2 linked regions of the Caenorhabditis elegans genome follow. The protein of the gene in region 2 purifies or fractionates together with the protein of the main gene of each other region. This does not show direct contact. Each region holds a gene or a part of one and is shown on either strand. Other genes may lie near its edges.

Region 1 (13,836 bases), on a different chromosome or scaffold from region 2:
TAGAAGTACTGTAGGTATACGGTAGCGTTACTGTAGTTTAGGAAAAATTGAGTTTTTGTCTACAGAAGAGGTATTGGGTTGGGAGTTGCTGGGGGATAATGTCAAGGTACTGTAGTGGTACTGTAGAAGTACTGTAGGTATACGGTAGCGTTACTGTAGGTTAGGAAAAATTGAGTTTTTGTCCACAGAAGAGGTATTGGGTTGGGAGTTGCTGGGGGGATAATGTCAAGGTACTGTAGTAGTACTGTAGGAGTACTGTAGATACACGGTAGGGTTGCTGTAGTTTAGGAAATTTTGAGTTTAAAACGTTTTGAAGAAGTGTTGGCTCGGGAGTTGGTAGGGAATAGTGTCAAGGTACTGTAGTGGTACTGTTGGGGTGCTGTAGGATTATTGTAGGATTATTGAAGTTTGGTGGAAAATTGCGTTTTAAGTTTTTGAAAGTGTATTGGCTTGGGAATTGATGAGGAAAATGTCAAGATATTTTGATAGTTTCTTGCTGAGAGTTGGGAACATTTGGGAAGATGTGAAAGTTTCATTATTTTTTCATAAGACATTTTTAAATGATTGTGTCAAACATTTCAAATGTTGCCAGTCGTTGGCCGCGCCGTAGGCGCGGTCAGCGGCTGGTTTTAAATAAAAAAAGAAAAATGTATTTAATTCTTAAAAATTCTAATTTGCATATTAGAGCGGCCTTATCATCATTATTTTAAGAGAAACATAAATGACTAAAGAGAAAAATTGAGTCGGGCAAGCTCGGCCCTCGAACGGTCCCGAAGAAGAGGGCGGAGCTTACATGGATGAAGAGTAGCGACTCGAGTCCTGTAGATGATTCATAAAACATATGTAATAGAGATAATGTGGTCTTGTGAGGGGGAAAAGAAACGCCTGATGTATTTTTGTGTAGAAGTCATGATAGTATTTTTGATCGATTTCTAGTAGAAATTGGAAAGCAAATTTTTGACAAAAAAATTATTTTCGACACATATTTTGGCATTTAACAAAAATTTGTCGTGTCGAGACCTGTTACCGTTTTTTTGGTATAAAAATCGAAAAATTTCGCGTCTCGGTAATATTATATGGGTCTCACCACGAGAAAAAAAATCCGAACTTCATTATAAAAGAGTTTGAAATTACAGTACTCTTTAAAGGCGCACGCCTTTTAGCATTTAACAAAAGTTTGTCGTGTCGAGACCGCGTACCATTATTTGAGCCAAAATCGTAAAATTTCGTTCAAAATTTTAATCATTAATCAGAAAAGCCTCGAAAGAAAAGAAATCAGTTGTCGAACACATGTGTGTCCGTTCTCTTTCTCTCTCCATCTTTGCACACTCGCAGAACAAAGTCTGTTTCCACATAAACTATGGCATTTCCTCTTTTATCTAATTCTCTACATCAAAGGTTCGAAGACAATTTTTTAAAACAATTGAAAAAGAAACTACAAAAATTTCGCAAGCATAGGCGATTTTTGCTGGAAATTATTAACCGGGAGGCGTCTGCGTCTCATATCATCAGAGATCTTATTCGAATTCGCTTGTTTTCTGTTCTGTTTACGATCATTCAAAATATGGTGAGGGATCGTGGGAGACAGTTTATTGGAGACAGTGCAAAATGTGCTGATTATACGACAATTTTTGCCATATATGTTCATTCAAATGAGCTTATACCGTCAGTCATTCTCAAACATCTGTGCAATAATGAGTACTAGAACGATGTCAATTGTTAGAAATTAATCGATTCTACATACAATAGGATCCACACAGATAGACTTCTAAACAAATGCATATTTAATCGTAAAATGGTCTCGACACGAACATTAATTTAATTTTTGGCGTAGGCGCCTTTAAGATTACTGTAAAGAGTTTTCTGCCCTACAGTAACACTAAAGGCACACACACACACACATCACTTTAGAATCAATTCTCAATTCTGCGCGCGTGCCGGTGCCATTCCATTGGGGAAATTGTTCAAAACTATTCCTATGCTACCAAAACGGCCAAATGTCATTGTAAAATTTTACAAAAATTATTTTGAAATTGTTGAGTTTTTTGCGGATTTTTTTTTGAACAACGACTGCCAAAAAAGTGGCAAAAACTGAGTAGTTGCCATTTTTTGTAACAAAATAAATATTTTTCAAAGTGCTCTTTAGAACGTTTTTCTATGATATTGTGGTATTTTGGCACCATGGGAGTAGTTTTTATCAAATTTCACACTGATGCAAAATCACTTGCACCGTACTACGTAGCTTGTTGTCAGCGTGCCGAGACCCATTTTTATTTCATTTTTAGACGTCCACGTAATATTTCATTTGTTCTCAAATTAGGAAAAACTTTTAGTGGCTAAGAATGGAAACAAATGTTTTTTTCGAGGTTTTGTAATCGTTTAAAAATACTCTGAGTATAAAATCACAAAAAAGAAGTAAATCGAGGTCTAAATATGGATCTAATTTCCACCCAGTTTGTTGCTATCAAATTCACAACGCGGCACTCCTTTAACGGATTGGTATCGGAAAGCCGACATTGACACCATGCCGCCTTTGAAACAATAATGTTTTGAAACGGTCACGTAACATTGGAACAACAAGAAGAAGGTCAGTTTGCCAAAAAATATGCTATGTTTATTTCTGACCCTCTGTAGAGTGTGGAGGCTGGGACTTCCCGATGAATCATCGTGGGTACTGTAGGGGGCGCATAAGGAGAGTGACATACAAATTTTGAGAATCGATTCGATGTTTGATGAAGAAAAGTACGAAAGAAACCCCGTTTTTTACGATATATGTTGGAAAGACTGAGAGCTCATTTAGGAGGAAAACGAGCTAATGCATTGTCGCGCTCAGAGTGGCACAATTTTTTTTTGAGGTTTTGTAAACGTTTAAAAATACTCTTAATAGTCTAAGAATCTGAAATACTGAACAATTCTTAAGAACAATGGAAAAAATCGCAAGAGGTTAAAATTTTCAGCTCATAAAAACGCTACCTTCCGTCATGCAATTCTCATTTTGGAGGAAGCTCAAACAAGGGAGTTAGCTCATGTTCCTTGTTCCGCCTTTAATGAAATCTTTCGAAATTTTCATGATTTTTAGGAGAATCGTTTTGTTTTTTACTACAGCTTTCGATGCCTTTTTATGTTGCTCAGAGTTCTACCCAATTGGGAAAGTACACCTATACCCCCAACTTCACACGTTTTGGTAGCTGATGGAGCACCGAATTACCCTCGGAAGAATCAACTTATGTTGCGCAACTCGGAGTAACTGGATACAGTGATCACTTCCACAGGTGCGAGGTCAATTCAATGACACTTTGTAACAGTCAACACAGTATCTATTACGTATAAATAACACTTGCATGGAATTTTGGTGGAAAAACTAACATATCCACTTTGAAAGTGACAGTAATCCCGAATCTTGTCGGCAAGTTTGAAAACTCTTTAGGTCCATCTGGTGTTCCCGCAGAAACTGCGGTGCGGTCTTTGTGACAGCCGCCAACGTAAACAAATTGTATGGAGAAGGTTACTGTATAGAATAAAATACTTCAAGAAAGAATTAAAACTGGGGAGTGAGAAAATTTAAAAAAAAACTTATTAAAATATTAACTTTTTGAAAACATTATAGTTAAACGAAGGATCAATGCACAGTAATTTCTGATCAATATGCTTTATCTGTAAAACATAATATTGATTTTCGAAACACACATCTCTTTTGAATTGTTCACTTTCTGAGAGTTGAAACCGGTCAATTGAAGGACTTACAAAAATAGAAATAGGAGAGAAGTTGATTGGTTTGAGAATTATATTTATTTATATTGAAAAACGAAAAAATTGAAACAATACTATATTTGGTGAACGGCCAGAGTCACTAATTTTGGTGAACGGCCAGAGTCACTAATTTTGGTGAACGGTCAGAGTCACTAATTTTGGTGAACGGTCAGAGTTACTAATTTTGGTGAACGGTCAGAGTTACTAATTTTGGTGAACGGCCAGAGTCACTATATTTGGTGAACGGTCAGAGTCACTTTATTTGGTGAACGGCCAGAGTCACTAATTTTGGTGAACGGTCAGAGTCACTAATTTTGGTGAACGGTCAGAGTCACTAATTTTGGTGAACGGTCAGAGTCACTAATTTTGGTGAACGGTCAGAGTCACTAATTTTGGTGAACGGTCAGAGTTACTAATTTTGGTGAACGGCCAGAGTCACTAATTTTGGTGAACGGTCAGAGTTACTAATTTTGGTGAACGGCCAGAGTCACTATATTTGGTGAACGGTCAGAGTCACTTTATTTGGTAAACGGCCAGAGTCACTAATTTTGGTGAACGGTCAGAGTCACTAATTTTGGTGAACGGTCAGAGTCACTAATTTTGGTGAACGGCCAGAGTCACTAATTTTGGTGAACGGCCAGAGTCACTAATTTTGGTGAACGGTCAGAGTCACTTTATTTGGTGAACGGCCAGAGTCACTAATTTTGGTGAACGGTCAGAGTCACTTTATTTGGTAAACGGCCAGAGTCACTAATTTTGGTGAACGGTCAGAGTCACTTTATTTGGTGAACGGCCAGAGTCACTAATTTTGGTGAACGGTCAGAGTCACTTTATTTGGTAAACGGCCAGAGTCACTAATTTTGGTGAACGGCCAGAGTCACTAATTTTGGTGAACGGTCAGAGTCACTTTATTTGGTAAACGGCCAGAGTCACTAATTTTGGTGAACGGTCAGAGTCACTTTATTTGGTAAACGGCCAGAGTCACTACATTTGGTGAACGGCCAGAGTCACTAATTTTGGTGAACGGTCAGAGTCACTTTATTTGGTAAACGGCCAGAGTCACTAATTTTGGAGAACGGTCAGAGTCACTATATTTGGTGAACGGCCAGAGTCACTAATTTTGGTGAACGGCCAGAGTCACTAATTTTGGTGAACGGTCAGAGTTACTAATTTTGGTGAACGGCCAGAGTCACTTTATTTGGTAAACGGCCAGAGTCACTAATTTTGGTGAACGGTCAGAGTCACTATATTTGGTGAACGGCCAGAGTCACTAATTTTGGTGAACGGCCAGAGTCACTAATTTTGGTGAACGGCCAGAGTCACTAATTTTGATGAACGGCCAGAGTCACTATATTTGGTGAACGGTCAGAGTCACTAATTTTGATGAACGGTCAGAGTCACTTTATTTGGTAAACGGCCAGAGTCACTAATTTTGGTGAACGGCCAGAGTCACTATTTTTGGTGAACAGCCAGAGTCACTATACTTGGTGAATGGCCAGAGTCACTAATTTTGGTGAACGGTCCGAGTCACTATATCTGGTGAACAGCCAGAGTCACTAATTTTGGTGAACGGCCAGAGTCACTATATTTGGTGAACGGTCAGAGTCACTAATTTTGGTGAACGGCCAGAGTCACTATATTTGGTGAACGGTCAGAGTCACTATATTTGGTGAACGGCCAGAGTCACTATTTTTGCCAGAGTAACTATATTTAGTGAACGGCCAGAGTCACTATATTTGGTGAACGGCCAGAGTCACTATACTTGGTGAACGGCCAGAGTCACTATTTTTGGTGAACGGCCAGAGTCACTATATTTGGTGAACGGTCAGAGTCACTATATTTGGTGAACGGTCAGAGTCACTATATTTGGTGAACGGCCAGAGTCACTATTTTTGGTGAACGGCCAGAGTCACTATATTTGGTGAACGGCCAGAGTCACTAATTTTGGTGAACGGCCAGAGTCACTCATTTTGGTAAACGGCCAGAGTCACTATATTTGGTGAACGGTCAGAGTCACTAATTTTGATGAACGGCCAGAGTCACTATATTTGGTGAACGGCCAGAGTCACTATACTTGGTGAACGGTCAGAGTCACTATATTTGGTGAACGGTCAGAGTCACTATATTTGGTGAACGGTCAGAGTCACTATATTTGGTGAACGGTCAGAGTCACTATATTTGGTGAACGGCCAGAGTCACTATATTTGGTGAACGGCCAGAGTCACTATATTTGGTGAACGGTCAGAGTCACTATATTTGGTGAACGGCCAGAGTCACTAATTTTGGTGAACGGCCAGAGTCACTAATTTTGGTGAACGGTCAGAGTCACTTTATTTGGTGAACGGCCAGAGTCACTTTATTTGGTAAACGGCCAGAGTCACTATATTTGGTGAACGGTCAGAGTCACTAATTTTGATGAACGGCCAGAGTCACTATATTTGGTGAACGGCCAGAGTCACTATACTTGGTGAACGGCCAGAGTAACTATATTTAGTGAACGGCCAGAGTCACTAATTTTGGTGAACGGCCAGAGTCACTATATTTGGTGAACGGCCAGAGTCACTATTTTTGCCAGAGTAACTATATTTAGTGAACGGCCAGAGTCACTAATTTTGGTGAACGGCCAGAGTCACTAATTTTGGTGAACGGCCAGAGTCTTAATTTTTAAAGTAATGCAAACGTAGTAAATCTCCCAATAAAAAAATGCGGTCATATTGCATGAAATTTAGTTTTTTTGATCAAACTGAAAGCTTCTGGCACCTGGAAATTTTTGTAATTAAATTCTGAAAGCGCTTAAAATTTGTCCCTTCTAGGACTTTTTACATAAAAAGCAGGATGGTTCTAGAATTTTCTAGAAACTCTGGAAAAGTTTTAGAATTTTCTTGAAATTCCGCAAAACTCCAGGAAAAGTGTTGACTGTACAAAAATCTTACATTAGCAGTTTAAAATTTATTAAAACAATTTACCGTACGCCAGTCGGAGCACGTGCAAACGGCTGGTTTTTTATAATATGCTTCTACATTAAATTTTTCATTTAAAACAGTGGGATATCATATACAAATCGATAGCTTTGTATATTTGCTGGAGTCCGAAAATCTAAAGATTTCAGACGAATTGTTTGGAAAAGGTTATATTAGTTATATTAATTCATTAATAAAAAAGTTTATATAGATAAACATGCACGGCCGAAAATAATTAATTGCAGCAAGTGGCAAAATATGTTCCCTCCACACAGGTTGCTCCAGCTGGACAGAACTTTGATTTGCAACTCTTCCCAACAATCGTTGTAGGGATTCCACCCTCGACAATTTTTGCAACTTTCTTTCCTTTTGGACATTTTGGCTCATAATCAGCTTCAATCAACTTTTCAATCTTCTTGTCACAGCAAATATTAATATGATTAGAGTACCTACAGATACCTTTTGGCCCACATTCTTCCTGGAATTTTTACAGATTTTTTCAAAAACATGGAGCAACTTACATCGGTTTGGCAGTTTTTATCGTTTATTGGCTTACTTCCAGCGGCACATCCCGATTGATCATCTAAATACTTTGGTTTAAAGTAAAAAATTCAAATGAAAAAACATACATCCAGTACATGTAAATCGACATTCACTCTCAGTTTTGAAATTATTCTTGTTTCCTCCACATCCACTGTACTCAAAAGCCAATGGGATATTGGATTTTTGGTCAAAGTGGTACTGTAAATTATTAAGACTTTATACTTTATGAATTTTATGAAATAAAAATATTGAGAAATATGTTTAGTTTCTGAAAATAATTTTGCTTTTGTTGAAAGTTTTGAAAAGTTGAAATTTTGAAAAGACTTACAGTCTCAGTGTTATTTCGGCACGTTGACTTTTGAGTCAGTTTTTGAGCAAATTCTCGGAATTTTCAATTAAACGTATAGCTATTTTCAGAAAGTACCAATGTTTTTCTATATTTTTTTCCAATTTCCAAAAATTCCAAAGTTTCCAAAAAAAAGCGACATGAAAGCTTTGAAAAATCAAAACTCACTCTTATCTCCTTCTTTCCATTTTTACATGGTGTTTTTCCCATGTCCAATGGAAGTTTGCACTCCGGTTGAAGTGTCGAGACTAACTCACTGACACACAGAATAGTAGCCAAAAAGGTAAGAAGAAGATTCATTTTGCAAAATTGACAGAATAATTGAAATGATCACCGTTTTATACTACTGGAGAAATGGATAAACACGTTGAGAGATAAAGAAATCGAATGACTATACTCAACACTTCCTGGTTTAGATAAGAAGAAGGTCAAACTGGATAATGTTTGGTTGAAGTTCTAGTATAGATTCGTTTAGAAAAATCCGTAAATCTCTTTCAATTGTCGAATGCTAGCTGACAAAACACCCAGAAATCTTCCAATCTGAAATTCTACCTAAAAGTCCAATAAAACAATTATTAATATGGTTGTGTGGCCAAACCATCTAAAAAACTGTTCAGCAAATTTTATAAACGCTCTTGGTATCACCGTGAATGATTCTTTGAATCACTTCCTGGTCACAGAGATTACCAATACGGAGATCATAAATGCCATTTGAAAAAAAGAAATTTTAAAATAGGCTACTACAAAAAATTGACAAGTATTGTGATCAGGATAAAATTCTATCTGATTATTTTTCCAGTGCAAATTGCTTCAAATCAACGATGCTCGAGCTCGACAAATTTCGAAATTTGCAGCACACCAAAAATTTGACAAAACAATTTTGCCCAAAACTATTGAATTTGTCCCCTAAAATTTAGTAAAATTCCACAAAATGGAGTTAATTTGATGTTTAAGCTGACACAGCTCACGAAACTTATTCAGAAATCAGATGTGTGATATCTTTGGTGCTCCAAAATACATCTAAAATATAACATTTTTCCGGAGTCTGTTGAAAACGGCAAATTTGCCGAGTTTGCCGAGCGCGGCAAATTTTGAGATTTGCCGCACATCCCTGCTCCAAATGTGGAAGCCTTTAAAAGTGATCATATTTTTTTCAGAAAGAAAAGTTTCTTGAAAACTCCTATAGTTGTTCACATGTTTTACAAAACATCTGAAAGTCAAGATTATATATGAAAAACTACTCTAACGCAATTTTTCTTTCTGCCACCTATTCACTTTTTCCAAAAAGTTGGGAAATCTCTTGGACATAATTTTCTAATTTCTTAACCCAACTCAAAAGCCTTATTTGAGAATAGACCTCGAGTAACCTAAATTCTCCGGTCCACGTGCTTGTTTATTCCGTTCATGCGAAGTTTGTTCCTAAAATTTTTTTAATATATCCTCTGTAATCCCCCAGCTAAACTCACAAATTTCCGATTCCTTATTTGCTTTTCATGTCACTTCGACGTCTACTTTTTTCGTTGCAGTTGCTTTTCTCTGAAATTCTCCGCAAAAAATAACAAAATTTTGTTACTTGTTACTTTGTTCGCCGTTGATTGAATATGTGCTATGGCAACTCTTTCTGAGTTGTTGGGTTCAAGTTTTGGTAATTGTATGTTTTCAAAAAAAAACTGAAAAGTAAGGTTTTGATTTAGAACGTCAGAATAGAAAACCAAAACCCAAAAAATAAAATAGAAAACAAAAAAAAACGAATCATTATAGTCAAGTCTCTATTGCGAAAAGCAGCTACTATTAGCCTATGGGGTCAATTTGATTATCTGCCTTTGCCTAGTCGGTGTTTTCCCAGCGCAGAATCCACTTTGCTCTGCCTGTGCTCCAAAAGAGTGCTCATTTTCAAAAGACACACATACACTCTTCTCATTTTCTCGTTTTTTTGCTTCTTGTTTCTCATCGTCCGGTTCTTTTTTTTTCCACTTATCATCTACACTTCCTTGATACCATGGCTTATTTAGTGAAGATGGCTTATTTAGTGAAGAATTCATGACATACTGAACGAAAATGTTGCAATGTTCCTCTCTGGGAATAATATTAAATTTAAAGGTGTTGATTTGTGAATTTTTTCGGAAACACTCTTTTTTGAAATAATAAATATTTTAATCAAGGGTGTCTGTTTTTCGATTTTTCACAAAATCCGATATTTCGAAAATAAATTATATTTTTTGCTTACAATGCTGGATTTTTCTTTTCAGAAGAAAATTTTATTTTTTGCCATCAACAAAATTCGATAAAAATATAGATTAAAAAAAAAATATATATAAAAAGTATTCGCCAATTCCTGCTCACACTAATTTCCATGTTTGAATTACCTCCAAAATAGAGAGAAACCATTTCCGTACCAATCAGATTGAACTAAACACACTCCGTCTGATTGGTTCACACATGGGCGGAGCAAATCGCTGATTGGTTGCACTTTTCGTTTTAGAGGAAATTCAAAAAAGGAGATTACCGAGAGTTCGAAATTCGTAATTTCAGAATTAGGACTTTTGAAAATTTTTTCCCATTTTCGAATATTACTGTATATTCAAAGTATTTAGAAAAAAATCTACATTACTTAGAACTACCACAATGAGAAAAACTGAAAAATAGTTACTAATATAAAATTTTTAATAACTTATCAACACCGTAAAAAATAATTGTACAGAATTGTACAGTCAAAAAAACTTGTAAATGCTCTAGATGCACCCATTTTCAACAAATTCCAGCTATTTTTTGTTGGACGAATATGTTCCAAGGCGGTCAATCCGTCCAATCAACCAATTAGTTCTAATTCTCAACAAGAACAACGTGGATGAAAATGTCTTCTGATTCATTTTTTCCCTTCCTCCAGTCTTCCCCAAATGTCCTTTTCTTTCTCGTTATCCTTTGTATCCCCGTCATTCTGCTCCTTTGCTCCTTGGCAACATCTCATCAGTGCGTGTGGGGGGAGCTCTTCAAGATATTCGATTCCAACCAACACCACTCAAATTCACCCCTTTTATTCTCATTGTGAGAAGGCTTTGACATCACGATCAGAGATTGATGTTGTCTTATTTTTTTCTGTTTTTTATAAAGATTCTCACAAAACGAACATTTGTTTTCGTTTGATTTATATTCTGCAAATGATGTTAGTTTGCTCCGTTGCACTGGATATTGTTGGTTTTTTACTCTGCTTCATTAGATACGAGAACTGATATAGAGTAGGTTTTTCAATTTATTTCGCACGTTCTAGGTACATCTCGACCAAAAGCTGAAAAAAACTGGAAAAGAAATTTATAACCCATTTTCAAAAATTTTACTAATTTGTTTTACTTTTTTGTTGAACACGATTTTTGCTAGCCAGAAAATATCAACTTTGTTCTAAACCAAGCTACCGTTTCTTTATAGACTTTTTCGTTGAGTTTATGAAACATTTGTCACCTGACAAAATGTTCACTACTTATTTTTCTTGAGTTTTGTATTCAACCACTTTGCAAAATTTTCAAAATGAACAGAGTGGTATGTGTACTCAAGTAGAATAGCCGGGTGCAAGAGGGAATACGGTAATATATACGGTAAAAAATAGAATCCGGGTGCAAGAGGGAATACGGGAATACGGTAAAATATTTTTTGGGCAAAACTAGGGCAAGTTCTGTTCTGTTGGAGTGCTTTTGGAATTTTCAGAATTTTGAGCAATTTGCCAACAGTACTTCTTCATTCCGATTCATTTCAAATAGTGCCCAAAACCCCCTAAAAGTGTACAAAGCCGTTAAAACATAAGCTCCACAGCTCTGGCTCATTCGTCGACACTATGCCCATAAATCGCGCGTGCGGAGATTCTTGCTCCTGGAAACGCGTGAATGAGCTGCTCCGGCATTCCGTTTATAGCCCATCCTTTTTTTCTGGTTTTGTTCTTCAGGATTCATAACCAAAACATGTACATTCAAATTTCCAATTTGTTATAAAATACCTAAACCTACCGTAAGAAACCATCTATTTTGAGCATCTTTAAAATGAAACATTTTTAGTATGTTTTTGTCGTTTTGATTCAACAGTTCTGATTCTATAAATTGGCGGCTTTAAACTTTCAAATTTTAAATTCCACTGTTTCCGCCATTTGTTTCTCTGATGTACCATATTTTCCAAAAGTGAATTTCCTGACACCATCTCTTCAGCCATAACTGGTCTTTTTCTTCTTTTTTCTATCGGTTGCTCATTTCCATAAGCGCCCCGTCAGACTGGTTGCTGCTGTTGTCCTAGAATTCCCGCGGGACATCCCCCCTACTCTTTTCCATTTTATTCCTTTCGTCCCTATTCCTCTATCACGTGTCCTAACACTTACAGATGTACTCGATATTTATTTATTTATTTTCAAATTGATAAGAAGTTATTATAATAAAAGTTGTAGGAAAAAAAAAGATTCACACATTCTGTAAAATCAAATTAACAAATTTTTGATGATGCATCACAACCTAATCCAATTTTTTTCTTTCAGCTCTATTTCCGACACATTTTCTTTTCCATCAACGCCTTCTGATTTTTCTCAAAGAAAAAAGAAACATTTGTTGTTCACAACGTCATAGCCTATGAATGAATCGGTTGTAGAAAATAAGGAGGAAAAAAAGAAAGAAAAGTAGAAATTGAGAAGGAAAAAAGAGAAGAAAAAAGAGTCGCGGAAAGAGAGAAGCACTTTTATGAGTGAGAGCTCTTCCTTTTAGAGAAAGTGGTTTTGGTGCTCTATTAACTCGCCAATTGTCAACCGTTTTTCACCTCTCAACTAGTTAATTTTTTTCTGAAATAATGCAGCTTTTTGTAACCTATCAAACTTTTCAAAAAAACCTGATGTTACAAAAGATTAACCTTTCAACTTTTCACCCAAATTTCCTGTAATCATCAGTAGCAGACAGGATATTAAATTTGAATGATTCATAGCCAAAATGGATGGAATCAAAATTTGCAAAAAAGTTCGTTCAGATTTTCACAGTTTGAAAAATTGCAAATTAGTCCCGCGCAAACGAGCGACCTAGTTTCGGCCTTTTTGGTTTTCAGGCTATATTTAGATATTCTCTGTTTTACAACTTGAAGCATAGTTTTTCACATTTTTAGACGTTTTTCCGTAAAGAAAACATGATCACCAAAAAAACATTTTACGGAATCTTTATATTAGGTTTAAAATTAACATTGAAACATTTATGAAATATTTTTGTAGAAAAAGAAGACCAATGTATTATCCCGCAATACAAAAAAGTCCAAACTAGATCAGGCATTTGCGCGGGAATTCAAAAATAATTTTGCCCTTCTAAAATATCTTGCCAACTGTGATTTCTTTAAAAATATCTGAAAACTTTTATAAATTTTTTCACAGTTATATTTGGTACCATTTTTTCCTTATAGAAATTATCTAAAAATTAGAGTTTTCGGTTGTTTTGTTGTAAATTTTCAATCCGATCAATCTAAAAATATTTTCGTTTTCCCTTGTTGCAAACCAGTTTTCCAAATCCATTATTTATTCTAGTAAGCACGAAACTAGTAATTTTGAGCCTATTTTATTTTTATTCTACGTCACCAAAATTGTAAAGTGCACCGAACCCAAAGATCTTCCAACGCCCTCTTTTTTTTTAATCTCATTACCATAATTTACTCATTCCACCTCCCCCATTATTTCAAAACTCAAATTTTTTGACTCTTGACCCTTGGAGGAGTTTCGTTCCGATAAAAAACAACAACCCAAAACGTTTTCCATCCCACACACAAACACCATCTTCAACAACTCTTTGCCGTTTTTCCTATTCCTATCGAAACACACACTTCCTGAATAATTCATCTTGCCCTTCCTTCCTTCCTTTTTGCTGCTATCTTTGGGAGCTTTTTCTTGGAGCCACAAGCTTTATGCCAACTTGAACTTAAACTTTTTTTGGGTGATGTTGACGTGGAATATTTTTTGGGGAGTGTGTAAAGTATGCGGAAGAAATACCGGAAATTGTGCTTCCGTCAAGCTCATCTGACTGAAAAGTGAGCCCAGCAAAACGCAAAAAATTTTCGAAGACGGAAACGAAAGGAGAGTTTTTTGGAGCAAAACGAGGATATGTGTTGTGCATGTGTGTGTTTGTGTCAAATGAAATGAAGCCGTGTTTTTTGCGCCCCCCGTCGTCGCAGTCGCCGTCTTCGTTGCCATCGCCGAAAAGTCATTAAACGTCGAAGGGACCCCGGGTCGCGTGGCTC
Region 2 (17,746 bases):
TTTCTTCGTAAGGGAACAACATAAAAATTACTAAGTTTCATAATTTCAATGAGAGTTCGAACCATTCCAAACACACGAGTTTAATTTTAGACGGGTGCAGACCATTAAAAATATTATTCTAACTGGTGGCCGAGAAATTCGCTGGCCGTTCAGCAGACGCGCCCCATTGGACATTTAAATATTTTGAGTTTCGAGAAGGATTTTCCCTCAGTTTTCTATGAATTTCTGGAGATTTCAATTCGTTTTCACATTTTGATTACCGTTTTACAATGTTAAAAATTTTCCAATTTTATATTTCTTTGTGAAATCATAAAACTCACCTTCCTCATGCACTATAGGCCATTGAATTAGGCGTTTTTTAAATCTATCATTCACACAAATGTTTATTTTAGACGTTCTTGGATTAATTGTACATTCAAACTTTCTGGGTTTTTTTTTCATGTTTCGTATTTCAGCAAGATGCTTCCAGTCCAAATTTTAAAGGACAATGCTCAAGAGGAACGAGGAGAGAGCGCTCGTCTCAGCTCATTCGTGGGTGCAATCGCCATCGGAGATCTTGTCAAGTCTACTCTTGGACCAAAGGGAATGGTAAGAGCGTTTTGATTGTTAATCAAAATTAAATATTAATTTTAGGACAAAATTCTCATCAGTGGAAACCCAGAAAGCGCAGGAGGAATCAAAGTTACCAACGATGGAGCAACGATCCTGAAGTCAATCGGTGTTGACAATCCAGCTGCTAAGGTTCTTGTTGGTAAGTGCTCATTCACTGAATTTTGTTTTTACTTTTACAAACGTTTTGCATCTTTCAGATATGTCAATGACACAGGATCACGAAGTTGGAGATGGTACTACTTCAGTAACTGTCCTGGCCGCAGAGCTCCTCAAAGAAGCCGAGAAACTTGTCAATCAACGTATTCATCCACAGACGATCATTTCTGGATATAGACGTGCTCTCGGGATTGCTCAAGAATCCTTGAAAAAGTCCAGCATTGAATCCGGAGATAATATTCGTGATGATCTTTTGAAGATTGCCCGTACTACTCTTGGATCTAAGATTCTCAGTCAACACAAAGAGCACTTTGCTCAACTCGCCGTTGATGCAGTTTTGAGACTCAAGGGATCTGGAAATTTGGATGCCATTCAAATTATCAAGAAGCTCGGAGGATCCATGAATGAATCTTATCTCGACGAGGGTTTCCTTCTCGAAAAACTCCCTGGAATGTTCCAACCAAGAAGAGTTGAGAAAGCAAAGATTCTCATTGCCAACACACCAATGGACACTGACAAAGTGAAAGTTTTCGGATCAAGAGTGAGAGTAGATGGTGTTGCCAAGGTTGCTGAACTCGAAGCTGCTGAGAAATTGAAGATGAAAGAAAAAGTTGACAAAATTCTGGCCCATAACTGTAATGTCTTCATCAACCGTCAGTTGATCTACAACTACCCAGAGCAACTTTTTGCCGATGCTAAGGTTATGGCTATTGAACACGCCGATTTTGAAGGAATCGAGAGGCTTGCTCTTGTTCTCGGAGGAGAAATTGTTTCCACATTTGATTCACCACAAACTGCTCAATTCGGATCTTGTGATCTGATTGAAGAGATTATGATTGGAGAAGATAGACTTCTTCGGTTCTCGGGAGTCAAATTGGGTGAAGCTTGCTCAGTCGTTCTTCGTGGAGCAACTCAGCAGATTCTTGATGAGTCCGAAAGATCCCTCCATGATGCCCTTTGTGTTCTCGTTACTCACGTGAAAGAATCAAAGACTGTTGCCGGAGCTGGAGCGAGCGAAATTTTGATGAGTTCAGCCATCGCCGTCGAAGCTCAAAAGGTTGCGGGTAAGGAAGCCCTTGCCGTTGAAGCCTTCGGAAGAGCCCTTGCTCAATTGCCAACCATCATTTGCGACAATGCTGGACTTGACTCGGCTGAACTTGTCACAAGACTCCGTGCAGAGCACGCCAATGGACGTCACAATATGGGAATCGGTTTGTTCATTTGGAAATCTAACCATTATACAAAATTATCTTTCAGACATCGAGAAAGGAGAGGTTGCTGATGTTACGAAATTGGGCGTTATTGAGTCTTACAATGTGAAGTTGTGCATGGTTTCTTCCGCCGCTGAAGCCACGGAACAAATTCTTCGCGTCGACGATATCATCAAGGCAGCTCCACGTGCCCGTGCTCAAGATAACCGACCATGCTAATCAAATTGTTCGCCAGACTGTTAAAAGATCTTCAACTTTATTCTCCCTTTTTCAGCTTTTAATCGAGTGCTTCAACACAATCGTATCTCGTTTTTTTTCGTCCCCTTCATTCTTATTTTTGATGGAATTTGATACACTTTCTGTTGCTTCTGCCTACCGTTTTTATATGCCCCCGTTTTCAATTTAATATTCGAGAATACCGCGTGTTTTTGCTTGTTGATTTGTTTTCCTTTTAAAATGAATGGAGTGCGATTTACAAAAGGTACAATATTTGAAATGTATTTTATTCCAGTTTTTATCTGATTTTTTATATTTCTGATTAAAGAGAAAAGAAAAAGCTTAAAAGAAAAAATTTAGAACTGCCAAAAGATGCACAGGAGTTTTCCGAGGCTTGTCCGATCGCAAGGTAACTTGTTGAAAGGAATGTTTGGAAAATCCGGGGAAAAGGAAGCAGTAAAGCAGCTGACACTGGAAGAACAGGAGAGCCTTCGCAAGACGCTTCCCAGCATCCGTGCTAGAGAATCCACACAAGTTACTGCTTCAGCTGATTCTGTCACTGAATTTGACGATGATCTGTTGACGATGAGCCGTATCGACACGGATGCCATCCGGGCCAGAGGTTTTCTCAAATACACGCAAAACTATGTTCCCGGCGTTGATGTCAAAAACCAAGTACTTGAAGCAGCGTCATCATGTCTAAGAAGTGCTGGAGTAAAGTCTGAAAACGTGGATCAGTACAAATTTGTGGAAGGAGATAACTCTGTAAAGTTCGAGTTGTTGAACAGGCTGGGAAAATCCATCGAACATTGGCCAACCAATGGAAAACTTCTTCATTTGGAAACAGTGGCAGACGTCGTCGAATTTTATCAGACGCCTGTCAAAAATGTAACAAAATATACAGAGTTAGTTTTTGTTTAAAGATGCTTATTGAATTATTAATTAAAATAAATTATAGAATGGCTCGCGATGAGAACAAACCGAAAAACGTCTCGATTATGGAGCATGCTGCACGTTTCCATCCTGAAGACACTCACATGTATCATGGTGGAATCACTGCATTCCCAGGATCAGGTGGTGAAGTTCTCTCTCTGAGACAGAAACGTCTACTTCGACAGTTCCAACCGAAAAAAGAATGGTTCGATTATGATGATCAGGTAATTTTTAAAGTTTCAGTGCTGACTTAAAATCGGCATTTTTCAGACATTTGATTACACTCGTCCTGACAAGAATATGCCATGGGATCCAGAAGTTGCTAATCAAATGGACAAATACACTGATAAACGATACAACCTAAAAACAAAGCAATTCACTAGGATTCGACAATAAAAAATAATTTGGTTCATTTTTGTATTAGAGTTTCATATTTAGTATTTTTAGACCTATTTTCTTTTTGTTTGATCTATCGATTTTTATTGTTGTAAATAAAATTGACGTTGAAAAAAATATTTTTGACCTCTTCACGTTTTGATCTTCCTCTAAAGTTTTGCTCTACGCAAGTTATTTCAGTTTTTGATTTAAAATGTTTGTTCCATTCACCTCGGCAGCTCACTCGCTCACTTCGCTCATTCGAGGTGGCGGGCAGCCTTCGAAAAGCAATCTGTCTGGACAAAGGTTTTGGTTATCTCTTTTTCTTTATTTTCCGCCAGTTGATTTCATGCTCCCGCGACTTCCACACGCAATCTGCAAAATTTTGGCTGCTGAATCAGGGTAATGGGGTCTGCCGTGCCTTTTTTCCAAAACGTTGACTGATGTTTACTTTTCTTTTATGTTTCATTTTGACTTGTTCAATGGTTTTGAACAATAGTGTGTGCAAACTAACGTTTTTCTTTAAATTCAACACGCAAGCTTTGAGGTGTTTTAGTTAGAAAGAAAATAGTTGTGTTTCTCTTCAAAAATAAGTTTTTTCCGAAATGTTTTGCAAATTTTCCGAATCAACAATTTCTTCTCATATCAGACCTTATCACTTCTTCTCACTTCTAAAACTGACCACTGAACATAAAAAACATTTGGTAACTCGCTTCTCAAATCCAATCTGAAGTGCATGCTTTGCCAATCTGAAACTTCGTGTAAGTCACGTATTTAGGCGAAAGGCAGCCGCTCAAGTCGTCGCTTCTCCCCAGCGGCAGTTGCTGGCGTCCTTGGCCCCTCACTTGTTTTCGAGCCCAAGGCATTGGCTCCTCTTTTCTTCTCGGCATGACGAATTTAATCATAATTCTCAATATCTAGAAGTGTTCAAGAACTTAGTGAATCTGCAATGCCTTTTTTTTGTAACTTCAGTTCGAATCTTAACTGCGTCTCTTTGAGATCTACAAACGAATTTTATTCACTGCCACGAAAAAGAGGCTGTCCGTGCGATTCTATTGAACGTGCGCTCTCGGGCCGCTCACAAACACATCTAACCAGCTGCATTTTCTCTGAGTCTCGTGTCCTCCGTGCGACCTTCGTCACTCTTTCCACTTTCTGCGCCGTCTATTGACGGCGCCGCCTTTTTCTTCTCGCACTCCTTTACCCCTTCTCGCCTCAAACATTTTATCTTTTCAGTTGTTTTGTTTACTAGTGCCCGTTTCTCACGTAGTTTTATATACTTGTTTGATTATTGAAAACATATAGTTCATTTTGCAGGATGCCAATCACCAAGATCCACGCTCGCCAAATCTACGACTCCCGCGGAAACCCAACTGTTGAGGTTGATCTTTTCACTGAGAAAGGTAAGCGAGCATTGTATAAATTCTATCAAAACTTGAAAAACCAATCTAGATTTGAATAAAATAAGATTAATCTTGTTTTATTCAAATCTGAAATTTCATGAAGTATATTTCAACATTATGACGCAATTCCGAAATCACATCATTTCTTGTTTCCAGGAGTCTTCCGTGCCGCAGTTCCATCTGGAGCTTCTACTGGAGTTCATGAGGCCCTCGAGCTTCGTGACGGTGACAAGGCTGTTCACCTCGGAAAGGGGGTTCTCAAGGCCGTCTCGAACATCAACGAGAAGATCGCTCCAGCTCTGATCGCCAAGGGATTCGATGTCACTGCACAGAAGGACATTGACGACTTCATGATGGCTTTGGATGGATCGGAAAACAAGGGAAACCTCGGAGCTAACGCCATTCTCGGAGTTTCACTTGCTGTCGCCAAGGCTGGAGCCGTACACAAGGGACTCCCACTCTACAAGTACATCGCCGAGCTTGCAGGAACTGGAAAGGTTGTGCTCCCTGTTCCAGCCTTCAACGTCATCAATGGTGGATCTCACGCTGGAAACAAGCTCGCTATGCAAGAATTCATGATTCTTCCAGTTGGAGCTTCCAGCTTCGCTGAAGCCATGCGCATGGGATCAGAAGTCTACCACCACTTGAAGGCTGAAATTAAGAAGAGATATGGACTCGATGCCACCGCTGTTGGAGATGAAGGAGGTTTCGCTCCAAATATTCAAGACAACAAGGAAGGACTTGACCTTCTCAACACTGCCATCGACAAGGCTGGATACACTGGAAAGATTTCCATTGGAATGGATGTCGCAGCATCGGAATTCTTCAAGGACGGAAAGTACGATTTGGATTTCAAAAACCCAGCTTCAGACTCCTCCAAGTGGCTCTCTGGAGAGCAACTGACCGAGCTCTACCAATCTTTCATCAAGGAGTATCCAGTTGTCTCTATTGAGGATGCTTTCGATCAGGATGATTGGGATAACTGGGGCAAATTCCACGGTGCCACTTCCATTCAGCTTGTCGGAGACGATTTGACTGTAACCAATCCAAAGAGAATTCAAACTGCCATCGACAAGAAGTCATGTAACTGCCTCCTTCTCAAGGTTGGTTATTTTCTTATTCTGCTTCATACATAAGTTTCTTTTCAGGTTAATCAAATCGGATCCGTCACAGAGTCAATCGAAGCAGCCAAGCTCTCCCGTGCCAATGGATGGGGAGTTATGGTCTCTCACAGATCCGGAGAGACTGAAGACACTTTTATCGCTGATCTCGTTGTTGGACTTGCCACTGGACAAATCAAGACTGGTGCTCCATGCCGTTCTGAGCGTTTGGCCAAGTACAACCAGCTTCTCCGCATCGAAGAGGAACTCGGAGCTGATGCTGTTTACGCTGGACACAACTTCAGAAACCCACAAGTGTAGATCACTCAATCTAACCTATAAATACTGTGTATTTTCGTACTTTCTTCTCAAAATTGCCCTCCCTTTTTATGTAGTCACCTTTTTACCCTATTTTAGTGCTTGACCAGTTTAAAGTTGATTCCATTGTAGATTATTTATTGTACTTGTAATATGAAGATTGGACATGAAAATTTTAACGAAAACAAACATCTGGTTATTTAATTCGGTTTTTGTTTTTTTCTAACTACGGTATCTGTTAAAGGAGCACGCGTTAATTTGGCTCAGGGTCCCGCGACGAAAACTACCATCGCGCGAACGCGTACGCGCCAAAAGTTCTGAAATACATTTTCATCATTTCTTTTGTCACACATTTCGTGCCATGTCATTTACGAAGTGGGTCTGATTTCAAACCAACTGAAAATTCGAGAATTATCGCTCATTTTTATGTCTTATGTTTCGAAAATATAATCAATGCATTTCATTGATTTGTTTTCGTTTCGTTTCGTCGGCATTTTTCAGTTCTCCTGTTCTGCTAAATAGCTATCCTTCATTGTTCCTCGAACTAAATAAGTGGTTACAAATTAACTGTATTTTGCAAACAAATTATAATTTGACTGTTGTGCCTCATTTTAAAGAACAGAATAATTCGGCGCAATTTGTTCATTTTGCAGTTACTTATGCTCTCAGCACGCACTTGTTTTTCTCTCCGCTCTCTTCGTCTCTTAATCGATTTTATCTTTTCTGATTTGTTTGAAACTTTATATTCTCAAATTAAATTCCTGATTTTCAGAAAATTCTCATGCTCGTAACAGCAAAATGAATAATCCAGAAGAAAGCGCTGTAACAGATGTACGTTCATTTATTTTTTCCATTAGTTGTGCAATAATTCGTATTTTCAGCTCCGAAAGTTCACCAATTTGGTTCTAAATGGACTTGTTGACGAAGAAGCAACAGCTGCAGCTCTTATTCGGTATCAATTCCAGCAGCGCACGATCAAAGGTTATTAAAGACGCACAGAACAGCCTCAATTAAATTTACGATTACAGATGTTGTTCGGCGCGGTTCCGAGGATCCCGAATTGAAAGCACAGATATGTGATTTGCTCAATCACCTCGTTATCTACCTGAATGAGGAGATTGTGGAAACTTCTTCCAAAGCGTGTCCGGATGGAATGGACGATCGACATTTCGTGCAACTCGAAAAACGGATGCACTTGATGTTCGAGGTATACTTGGCAATGAATGTCGTTCCCGATTATCTGATTCCTGATCTCACAAAACACGTTGATGCAAGCCGTGAAGCTGTTAAGTATTCATATAGCCTCTGCAAAGGTACGTTTCGATAATTGTTAAAATATTTTATTGTTTTTTTTGCAGACTATTACCGCTGGAAAGAACTGCCATTAACTCTCAAAGAATTTTTTCTTGATGAGAAAGAGGAGGTGAAGGCTGTTGTCGATGAACCAGAACCGACAATGTTTGCACGCGACGACGGGGTAGTATCATCATTGGCTCATGAGAAGGCACAATCAGACGAGGATGGGAAGAAGAAACAGTTCGTGGCAAAGACCGAGAAGGTAGTAGAGCCCCTTAAAAAGAAAAAGAAGCAGAAAAAGAAGAATAAACAGCGCCAGTGAAAAATCCCATTTATTCTTGTACCATGGCGAGTTTCGTGTCTTAAAATTTTATATCTCACAAAATCTGAACCTGTGCAAATGTTTGTTAAATTTATCCCGCAAAAATTCGTATTGTGATTCTATTCGTTTTTGTCTTGTGATGATCATCATTTGATTCAGTATTTAGTCTAGAAAATAAAAATTTCAGCTTTCTCTGTGTCTGGTATCAAATGCATTTTATACAAGTTACTTAGACTGGTAAATTTCCAGGTTCTCAACAATTATCGCGCCAAGAATCCTGACTACAGAACGATGCGCGAGTTGATTAATGCGAAAACAAAGTTCCGTCTCGAGGGAATATACTGCGACAGTTTAATCGATGAGTAGGTGTTCTTATACACTATTTCTGTAAACACCTGATTTTCAGTTTCATATCAGTTTGGGATATGGCTATTGACATTGAACCAGTGAAGACAGAAGACAAGTTTGCATTCACTAGTCTCCTTAAGAAAGTCTTTCTCATGATGGTCGATAAAAGGAGAAATGATTTTGCTAGCAAGATTTTAGATAAATACAATAATGATGCTTCGGGTGTACTGCCTTGTCTCGATAACTTTGTAGAAAACTTTCAAACTGGACTTACGGCCGCCATAAATAACCTTCCGCTTGATGCTAACGTATTGAGCAACAATATGGAATTGTTCGAAAAAGCAAAAGATCCAGTAAGACAGTATTTTTGAAGTTTTCAGTAACCGAAATCTCGGATTTTCAGATAATATGGTATCTGCTCATTTCACCAGCCTACACAGTTCAACAGATCCTGCTGATTTGCGTTGATAACAAAGGTTACGTTCCTCTCGTATCTCGGATTTTTCGTGCCATACCAACATTGTTTGAACGATCTGTCAACCTCACACCGATGCATTTCGAAGGCTTTAAAACTCAAAAACTTTTGATTACCATTCTTCATAGAGTTTTCATTATTGGACGAACTACATGGACTTCTGCTTCTCAGTGGGAAAATGCTGCAATGATGACAATGTCGTTCGCGAAGGAAAGAAAACGAAAAGAAGGACAACCGGAAAAAGTAGAGGATAAAGCATTGCTGGATTCGTTTTCCTTGGTTAACTTTGCTCTCAATGAGCTCTTCAAGGATTATCGAAAACCATTGAAAGCAGTTGAGATTTTTGTGAAAATGCTGCAGCGTCTTCTTGCCAACAATAACAACGCCAGAATGCTCACAAATTACCAATTCTCTTCGTCTTTCTTTGATGATGGAAATAACTATCTTCCAACTTCGATAATAATGCTGCTAATGTTCGATCTTCTTGTGGAATACGATGGACAATCGAATGAAGTTTGTGATGGTGCCAGAGACATTCTGAAATCAGTTAGCGGTCGATTGAACAACGACAACATTATTTTCGATACTGATACATGCAGGCACTTGATCGATGAGAAATTAAATTATGCTCCGTGGTGGATCAAATATTCAATTTGTTCATGGTTTTCATCGTCTCTCCAGAATCCAAAAAAACAAGTCCCATCGGGTGTCTACAAAACAATTGCAGAACAACATCTAGATGAATTCGAACAAATTAAACCGGAAGAAGTTTCAACTGTTTCGGATTGCTACTTCAGATCACTCTTTGAACTGGGTCTTTTTGATGTTGATCTAGCCATTGAACTTTTACAGTATGGACATGTTGCTAAATTTGAGTCGTCAGTGGTTGAAAAAATCGCTTTAGCTTTGGTGGACAGTTATGGGAAGAAGATGTCTAAAAGAAGTGGTGGATTGGATATCGGAAAACTGATTATTTCAATGCTCCAGAAGTTTGATCCAATTCGAGAACTTGCACCACTCAAATCCTACAGCTCGTCCTACTTGGAAAGTGTCAAAAAGATCGAACACATACTTGTACTTTTCATGGCTGCTAGAATTGCAAAAGAGAAACAACTCAGCGCTGCAAGAGTCCGAACTGATGACACAATTCAGACCGCATACGATGAAGTAATTTCTTTGAATCAAGTTTCTGATCAACTTATGGACATTTTCTGCGAGACTACTAAAGCTCACGTTGATAAGGAGGTTACAAACTATTTATTTCAATCTATGATATTGATTTTCTATTTTCCAGGTAATGGAAGTTGAACAAATGAGACGAGAAGTGGAAGTTCTTTTGTTCTCTACTCCAGGAACGACACCTAATCAATTTAAAGCAATGGTTGAGAAGGAGAATAGAGAACAATCATTGGCTCTGCAATTATCAATGATTTATCTTAATTGTTCATATTTCTGTCGACTCTACCAGCAAGTTCCCATTAAGTTACAACAACTGATGAATTCAACTCTCGAGAAACAATTCGATTCGCAGAAGTTTTTAGCCAAGAAAGTTATGGATGACGTGCTGACAGAAAAAAGAAAGGTAAATCTCTTGACATTATTCGCTTAAAAAATTAGTGAAGAAAATTAGTTTAATTTTTTTTTTTGAATCTCAATAAAATTAATTTTTGCAGACCGAAGTTGTTTACGCATTCGTGGATACACCAGTCGAGCCGACTCCAAACGAAGATAATATTCAACCCGTTAAACCTGCAGAATTATTCAGACCACCAGTTGTTGAGAATGTCTCAGTTGAGAGTACAACGTACAATTCAAATGGAGGAGGTACAGTAATTCATAAATTTTTTATCTAACCACTTGCCGTTTTAGGTTACCGCCAAGGAAGATATCAAACCGGATATCAAGGAAAAAATCGTAGATCTAATTTTGAACAGCCCACGTCTTCGCGTGGTTCTGGAAGAAGTGATCGTACCTACGCTTATAAAGGAAATCGATTTCAACCTGTCAATGACTCCCACGTTTTTGCACCCAGAGAACGAGAGAATGTGTACCAGAACAGCAGTCATGATCGTGATATTCCACGTAATGATTATTCAGAATATGATCAAGAAAAGTTGTACCTTGACGATAAACAACCTCGTTTTCATTCTGAAAATAGAAATTCCAATGATGTTAGAAGATATTCTGAATCAAAAGACTCGAAATATGACAATAAAAATTGGAATAATCGTTCTTCTCGGTGGCCTTCTGAATCTGAATATTCTCAAGAAGATTCTGAAAATAGGTATGTAAGTTATCTGGTTTAAAATATTTTTTTCTATTTGAAGGCATCTCGATCAAACTATCCAATCCGTTCGAAAGTTCTCATATCGAGAGAACCAACAAAAACATAACAGACCTGGCACCTCTAGTGCTTCGCCGCCGAAAAACCAAGAATGGAAACAACATCAGCAACAGAAGAAAAGTTTCGGTGGTGGTTTTGGAGAAAACGGCAATAAGTTCAATGGAAACTCACGGAAACAACCCGAGAGAAAACCAAGATACACTTCCTCGAGTAGGTTTTTTTATTAATTAAATTGATCCTAATTCAGTAATAATTGTAATGCTATTGAAGTAGGATCAATTATATAATAGAAAAAACCAATTTTATCGTGAAACGATTTGGACTTTATTCGCTTTCAGACTTCTACGAACAAGATGAAGATTCACTTCAACTATTGAAACCTGACAGAAATGAGCTTGCTCAGGCAATGGGCCTCAATGACCCGCCAAACCCGCCCAAACCTCGTCGCAGTGAATGGACTCGTCGTTGAGTTAACATTCCCGTTGTCTTCTGTTTATTGTTCTCATACTTCCTATCCAAATTTGTTATGTTGGTTTTACTCTATTCGCCTCCCATTGAATTCGTATTTTTTTCCATTCCACATTTAATTTCTTTTACTTCTTTCAAATTTTCACCGCCTTGAAATAAAGGTTTGTTTTTAATTAAGATTGATGAGCGTATATAACGAGAAGAGCTTCATTTTTCTGCTGAATGGCTAACAATATTAGGTTAAACGGCGTGTAGAACTGGGTAAAAATGCAGTAAATATTAAATGTTGAACATTTCGATGTCGACACAAGAACAACTTGTGGATGAGGGTAAAAAGAAGATTATCTTTGAGCACCGACACTGAAAATTGGAAATTGTTAACAGAAAGAAAATGATTTTGAGGTGAAATTAGCACACTTAACTATTATAATACACATTAAAACGTTTCGGCATCCAATCAGGATAACCTCAAGAACTTAAAATACAAATAAAAGCTAGGTAACAATTCATGTCATTGTTTTGCATGAATTTAAAACGAGAATTGAAAATTAAAACTGTTTGAAAATTAAAATTATCACCAAATGAACGGATTCTTGGCTGGCTTTTTATACTTGTTTCCGTTTTCTGACTCGACAAACTCGTTTCCATAGGAAGATCCATACCAAACTGAAAAACAAAAAATAAAAACAAATTTCAGGTGGCTTTCCACATACCGAGCAATTCCTGGTTAATTCTGATTGGCTTGATTACACGGTAGAAAATTTTTCCATTTGTCTGGAATGCCAACATATTCTGCTCATCTTCGACTGAAATATTTTTAGTTAAGTTTACACAGAAAATCATAATTTTGTCTTACATCGTGGACTATTAATATATCTCAGCCAATTAGATCGCTCGGCGTCGGATCCATCAATGTAGAATCGCTTATCACCACTTTTAATAAGCCAAGCATATCCATCTTTGTAGAAATCTGTTTTTTTCTGACAGCGGCGACCTTTATACGGACCAAATACCATTCCAACTGGAATAAACACTTCAGCAATCACTCCTAATCCGGCATTCGGCAACTTTGATTCTTCGATGCGGAAAAGGATTGGCAGAGTTTGTTGCGAGAACGATAAGTTCGAGCTTTCATCACGTTTCAAGACACGATCGGGAATTTTGAATAGTGGATGCAGACGACAATATGGGCGATAAAACTTGTTGCATTTGTCACAATCTTGAAAAAATAAATTGTATTCGGAATTTTTTAGAATTGACTCACGAATGTCGAGATTTTCATCATATGCCCCGTCGCTGATTTCAGTTCCAAGAATAGTCACATCATTATCTGTAATACAGTCATACGAAAAAAAAAAGCGTACACACAATACCGGAAAGATCTTGGATTTCTCGGTGAAGTTTAGAGTCAAGGTAACGAGCTTCGATAATACTGATTGCTCCATCATTAAAGTCAAGCACCAATTTGTAGCTTTTCTGTAAAGAAAACTCGTAAACTCAAGCAATGTTTGAAATGTGTCTTACTTTCTCTCCAGTGATCGGAATGATGGCTTCTGGATTACTTATTCCAGGAATTTGAATCCCATTCATCTGAAAATAAGAGATATAATTATGTTTAATATTCATAAAATTGCGCAGTCAAAAGAAAAAGAAATCAACATGCTTGTTTGCAATCAACAGAAAAGAATCGGAGCGCGTTTGCAACAGGAAAAGGCGGAAATTCAAACTAATATTTTTCGAAAAATTCAGGAAAAGAAGAGTAGAGTATTTAGATGAGTAAATAACAATATTTTAAGAAAGAAAAAGAAAATGAATTCAGTGGAAAATTCACTAAAAATCAATGTGAATTTTATATCGATTACTTTCAATGTTGAATTTGAAATGTTTTGGAGGTGTACGGTATTCCACTTGAGATATTTAGTTTGGTAAAATCCCTGTACCTTTAAGCCATCTCTCGATTTCTTTTTTTAAATTGCAGTTTCAATTTAAATTTTTTACTCTTTCTCAAAGCAATAATTTAATTATTTTCAGAAAAAAATGCGGAAAAAATTTACGTTGTTCACTTTTATTCTACTTAACCTCACTGTCTCGGCAATCAGCAACAACGGCCCAACTGTTGATGAGATTTTGGAAACCAATCAATACTTCCTCGTTTCACAGCAAGATGGTATAACCTCCATCGAAACTTCTGTAACTCCCGGTCACTGTCCTCAGTTTATGGTAAATCCTAAAACGTAAGCTGATTACCTCGATGCACAACCTTATTAAAAATTGCAGAAATCATCCGAAATTCCGATTCGCAGGCGTTCATCTTGTACGTGATCCGAATGGCCGTTTTCCACCCAAGATAATGACAATCAGAGAAGACGATCATTCTTTCAATGCAAATATTTTCACTCTGAATGTAAGCTAACGCGAATTAAAAACAATATTCAAAAATTAATTTTAATTCCAGGTGTCCAACGTATTTCAACAAATCTCCTCGAAAACCGTCAGTTTTGTTGACAAGAAGAAAAGCCTTGTGCCAGAAACGTCAGCACTGAAGTTAAATAAAAAAATTGTGAGCATATTCAGAAATTTGGCATTTTTTTTCAATTTCACTAATTTCAGCTCTCAACTCTTTTTGACTCAACCAGCCACATGCTATATGTCGACTTCTCAACCTCAGATACTTTCGAAATGGAACAATTTTTTGTCAGTGGACTTCATACTGGTAAGCAAATACTTTTTAAAAGTTAAATGAAATGTTACTTCTAATTTTCAGACAACTTCAAATTAATTTCACTTCATCGATACTATAGATCTTCACCAAGCAGCAGATTTGAGTGGCAAGAAGATCAATATGCTGGAAAGTTCTATTATAAAGAAAGAATCGACGATCAGATTCAACTTTTCGAAATTCCAATGAACGCACTAGTTGCAACTGCATCAGAAGGAGAAGCCGGCGTGAAAGTTGGAAAAATGAACAAGGACGGCGTTATTCTTGGGTAGGCCTACCTAAAAGATTGACCCCTGAAAGATTTTTTTCAGAGCAACAGGCGGTGCGTTTTTCACATCTTATAGAAAGCGCGAAGGAAACATGACAAAATTGTACACTTCTCTAGTACCGGCAAACCTGAGCGCAGGTTTCAAATGCGAAAAATTGATTAAACCTTCTTCAATGCCAAATTTCTACGAGCTCATCATCATCAAGAATAATGATTATTGCATGTTGAGAGATGGCACGAATTTCGATCGTAAAAATTGTGAAATGGAACAGAAAGCGTACCTCATTTCCAAGCAAGTTTTTGAAGACGAGCCAACAAATGTTGTAATGTGGCTGCTCGTTGTCTGTATCATCATGTTTATGATTATCATGCTTCTCTACGTCTACATCTACTGGCTTCGTTCTACTTTCGTGGCAATTGAAGAGAGAGCTCTTCCCACTGAGGTTAAATATCGTCGATTTTTCTTTAAAAATATTATATTTTCCAGTTCGAAACGGAGGCATCTCTATTTGTCGCCAAGCAAAGAAGTTTCCAATCAGCATACTACGATCCTGCTCTTCTCGATGTTTCTGTCGACAAATGGAATTAATTTATTTTCCCCACACTTTTATCATTTTCAGTTCTAGCAATTAACTCAAAACCTGTTCACTGTCCCTTTTTATATAATAGTATACTGTTCTTCCCATCTCCTATCACACATCAACTTACTTGAGTTTTATTTGTTATTCAGTTTTATTTGTTATTCATTTACCCCTGTTCCATTCCTTTTGCACATCTCCTCTGCAGTTCTAATTTATTTTGTAATTTTTGAATTGTGAGGAAAACTTTCATTGCTTTTCCAACCAAAATAAATAAGTTTAAGAAAAAAGAACCCTGTGATGGCAGATAAGAACATAGGTCAATGGGAATGGCCAAAGGCGCACCGGAAAAGAGAATCCGTAAAGAGAGAAAGTCAGAAAAGTGAGAGAGAGAAAATGTCAAAGATAACAAAATGAGATCGGAGTTGGAAAATGGAGCAAAAATGACAAAATGAGCAAATTATGACATGCTGGCGATTTCATATTTTTGTCGGCGAACAATGAGAATCACAATTGTCGTTGTGATCAGGATTAAGGCCTGAAAATGAAAATTAATATAAAAATTCAGGCTTTTCAGCGATGTCTGCTCTGAAAGTATCAAACATGGTCTCGCCACGACTGATTATTTGAACTCCAAAGTGTGTGCGCCTCCGAGGAGTACTGTACTTCCCAACTTGTCACTTTTTTATAACTTCTCTCCTGTTGCCTCAAAAGTCTTTGAAAAACTATAAAGTAAGAAAAGTTAAAATAATAATGCAAGCATTACTAACTATTTATTTAATTTGATAAAAGATTCAACAAAAAAATTTGGAAGTATAGTACTCCTTAATGAAACACGTTTGCATTTGAAACATTGGTCGTGTCGAGACCGTATTTTTGGGCAAGAAATCGGAAAATTGATAAGTAATAGACATCTTAACTTTTTCTTGGTTCCTTCAAAATCATACGAGATTTTTGAAAATTACGAAAACCGTAGAAAAACTTGGTAAGTACTCACCACTGTTAATAAAATACTAACAACTAGAACTGATCTAAAATCTGCACATATTCTTTCTTCGTCAAGTGCCTTCGATTCTGAAGCCTCTTCAATTGATTCAGTTTCCACGTGGATATCCGGACATGTGTGTTGAATTGGTGGTTCTGTTGGGTGTGGAGTCATTGTAGATGATGTGATGTTGATCAATTGAGATATTTCTAGATTTTGACTTCGAACATCAATGGATGGAAATTGAGATGAGTCTTCTCTGAAAATGGTTTTAATTGTAAAATATTTCGTCAAGATAAGGATTCATTTAGCGGAAAAATCTCCCGACGCTACTCTCACTTTAAATAATACCAAATTTTCAAAAATTATCAGAATGCCTAATAAACTAACGGTCCATAAGATCAATTTTCTTACCTTTTCCTCCTCATCAAATCACATTTTGGTTTAGGGCATTCCCCAGTTGGAAGTTGTGGATGAAGACGGACTTGACATGCAAAATATACAATTGAAGTATGAGATACTCCAAATACTTTAACAGATGTTCCCACATGAGTTCGATTGTGATATTCAAGTTGTGGCATTATTGATTCATGTTTTGAACATCCAGATGAATCGATTACTTCGTGAGTTTCTTCACCACCAACAAGCTCACAGTTTTCGATCATTATGCATGACTCCTACAAAACTTAGTACGTTGGTCAATTTGAACATTTACGAACGATACTGGTGACTGTTTTCAGAAAAAAAACCCAGAATTACTTCATAAAAATAAACATTTTTAAAATTTTTCAAAAACTTACATAAACATTTTGGCACTGCCATGAATGATAAACGTCTTGTCCAAGAGCCAACCGACCGGCAGGTAACCCTCCGGGACTTGTTAATACTTCATATGAACAACTTGGTCCTTTGGTATCTGATGGAGGAGGTTTTGGAGATCCAATTGCCAAGGAAGTTGATGTTCCATTTATTTTCTTTTGATGGAAACATTGCATATTAAATATTCGATCATCTACAGTTGTGAATTCTGGATGAAATGAAACTGATAAAGATACTTCTAGAATTACTCCTGTTGGGTGCAGACTTCTGAAAATATTTACAGTTGAAATATAATTTAACTAAAACATACCTCCTCCGTGGCACCATACATTCCTCATGGGGAATCAGAATCTCAATTTGATTATTTGTCACGAGGCTCTGCAAAGCCTCACGGGTTATGAAATTTCTTGTATTTTTATGATTCCGTTACCTGAAAGCATGCTTTGTCTGGAGAATACTTAACATCCACATGACCCAGAAATGTTGATTTTGTGCGAAGCTTAACGTAGATTGCATCTGCTGCGCAACTGGAATGTATGTTGAAATAACTCAGAAATCAGAAAATTGAGTGTTTGATAACTATTTTTTTTATTAAACCGTATCTGTTTTATAATAATTTTTATATTTTTGGTTTCTAGATATTGGAACCTAAATTATCAAAAGACACTACCAAAAATTGGATCTGAGACTGATCAGGTTTCAGGTCAACTGATCATAAAGTTTTAACAATTGTTTCCTAATTGAAAATTACGAATTCTTTTTATGTGAAAAAATATTAAAAGGTAGGCAAGATTAGATGT

What was found.
Region 1: the proteins of T21B10.3 (region 2) and Y49G5A.1 fractionate together in Caenorhabditis elegans (co-fractionation; one large-scale study listed by BioGRID). This does not show direct contact.

The regions. Positions count from the first base shown.
Region 1 is NC_003283.11:5,279,462-5,293,297, forward strand, and holds Y49G5A.1 (BPTI/Kunitz inhibitor domain-containing protein), read right to left. Parts: upstream 7,913-13,836; 5' UTR 7,900-7,912; coding exon 7,768-7,899; intron 7,452-7,767; coding exon 7,340-7,451; intron 7,294-7,339; coding exon 7,232-7,293; intron 7,189-7,231; coding exon 6,946-7,188; 3' UTR 6,882-6,945; downstream 1-6,881.
Region 2 is NC_003280.10:8,927,286-8,945,031, forward strand, and holds T21B10.3 (Edg1 TPR repeats region domain-containing protein), read left to right. Parts: upstream 1-7,096; 5' UTR 7,097-7,122; coding exon 7,123-7,155; intron 7,156-7,205; coding exon 7,206-7,305; intron 7,306-7,352; coding exon 7,353-7,637; intron 7,638-7,682; coding exon 7,683-7,882; intron 7,883-8,191; coding exon 8,192-8,304; intron 8,305-8,348; coding exon 8,349-8,643; intron 8,644-8,693; coding exon 8,694-10,010; intron 10,011-10,059; coding exon 10,060-10,347; intron 10,348-10,438; coding exon 10,439-10,589; intron 10,590-10,634; coding exon 10,635-11,049; intron 11,050-11,092; coding exon 11,093-11,319; intron 11,320-11,447; coding exon 11,448-11,578; 3' UTR 11,579-11,747; downstream 11,748-17,746. Other genes in the region: cct-2 (T-complex protein 1 subunit beta), read left to right, coding at 460-588, 634-751, 810-1,979, 2,026-2,198; mrpl-50 (Large ribosomal subunit protein mL50), read left to right, coding at 2,568-3,100, 3,154-3,352, 3,399-3,524; enol-1 (Enolase), read left to right, coding at 3,718-3,809, 4,821-4,906, 5,063-6,009, 6,055-6,327; Histone-lysine N-methyltransferase set-17, read right to left, coding at 11,919-11,937, 12,156-12,243, 12,291-12,383, 12,434-12,796, 12,842-12,907, 12,951-13,053, 13,102-13,203; T21B10.4 (uncharacterized protein), read left to right, coding at 13,615-13,811, 13,855-13,981, 14,033-14,137, 14,188-14,290, 14,342-14,564, 14,608-15,007, 15,052-15,153; cutl-15 (ZP domain-containing protein), read right to left, coding at 15,603-15,680, 16,140-16,386, 16,542-16,804, 16,928-17,213, 17,257-17,324, 17,377-17,473.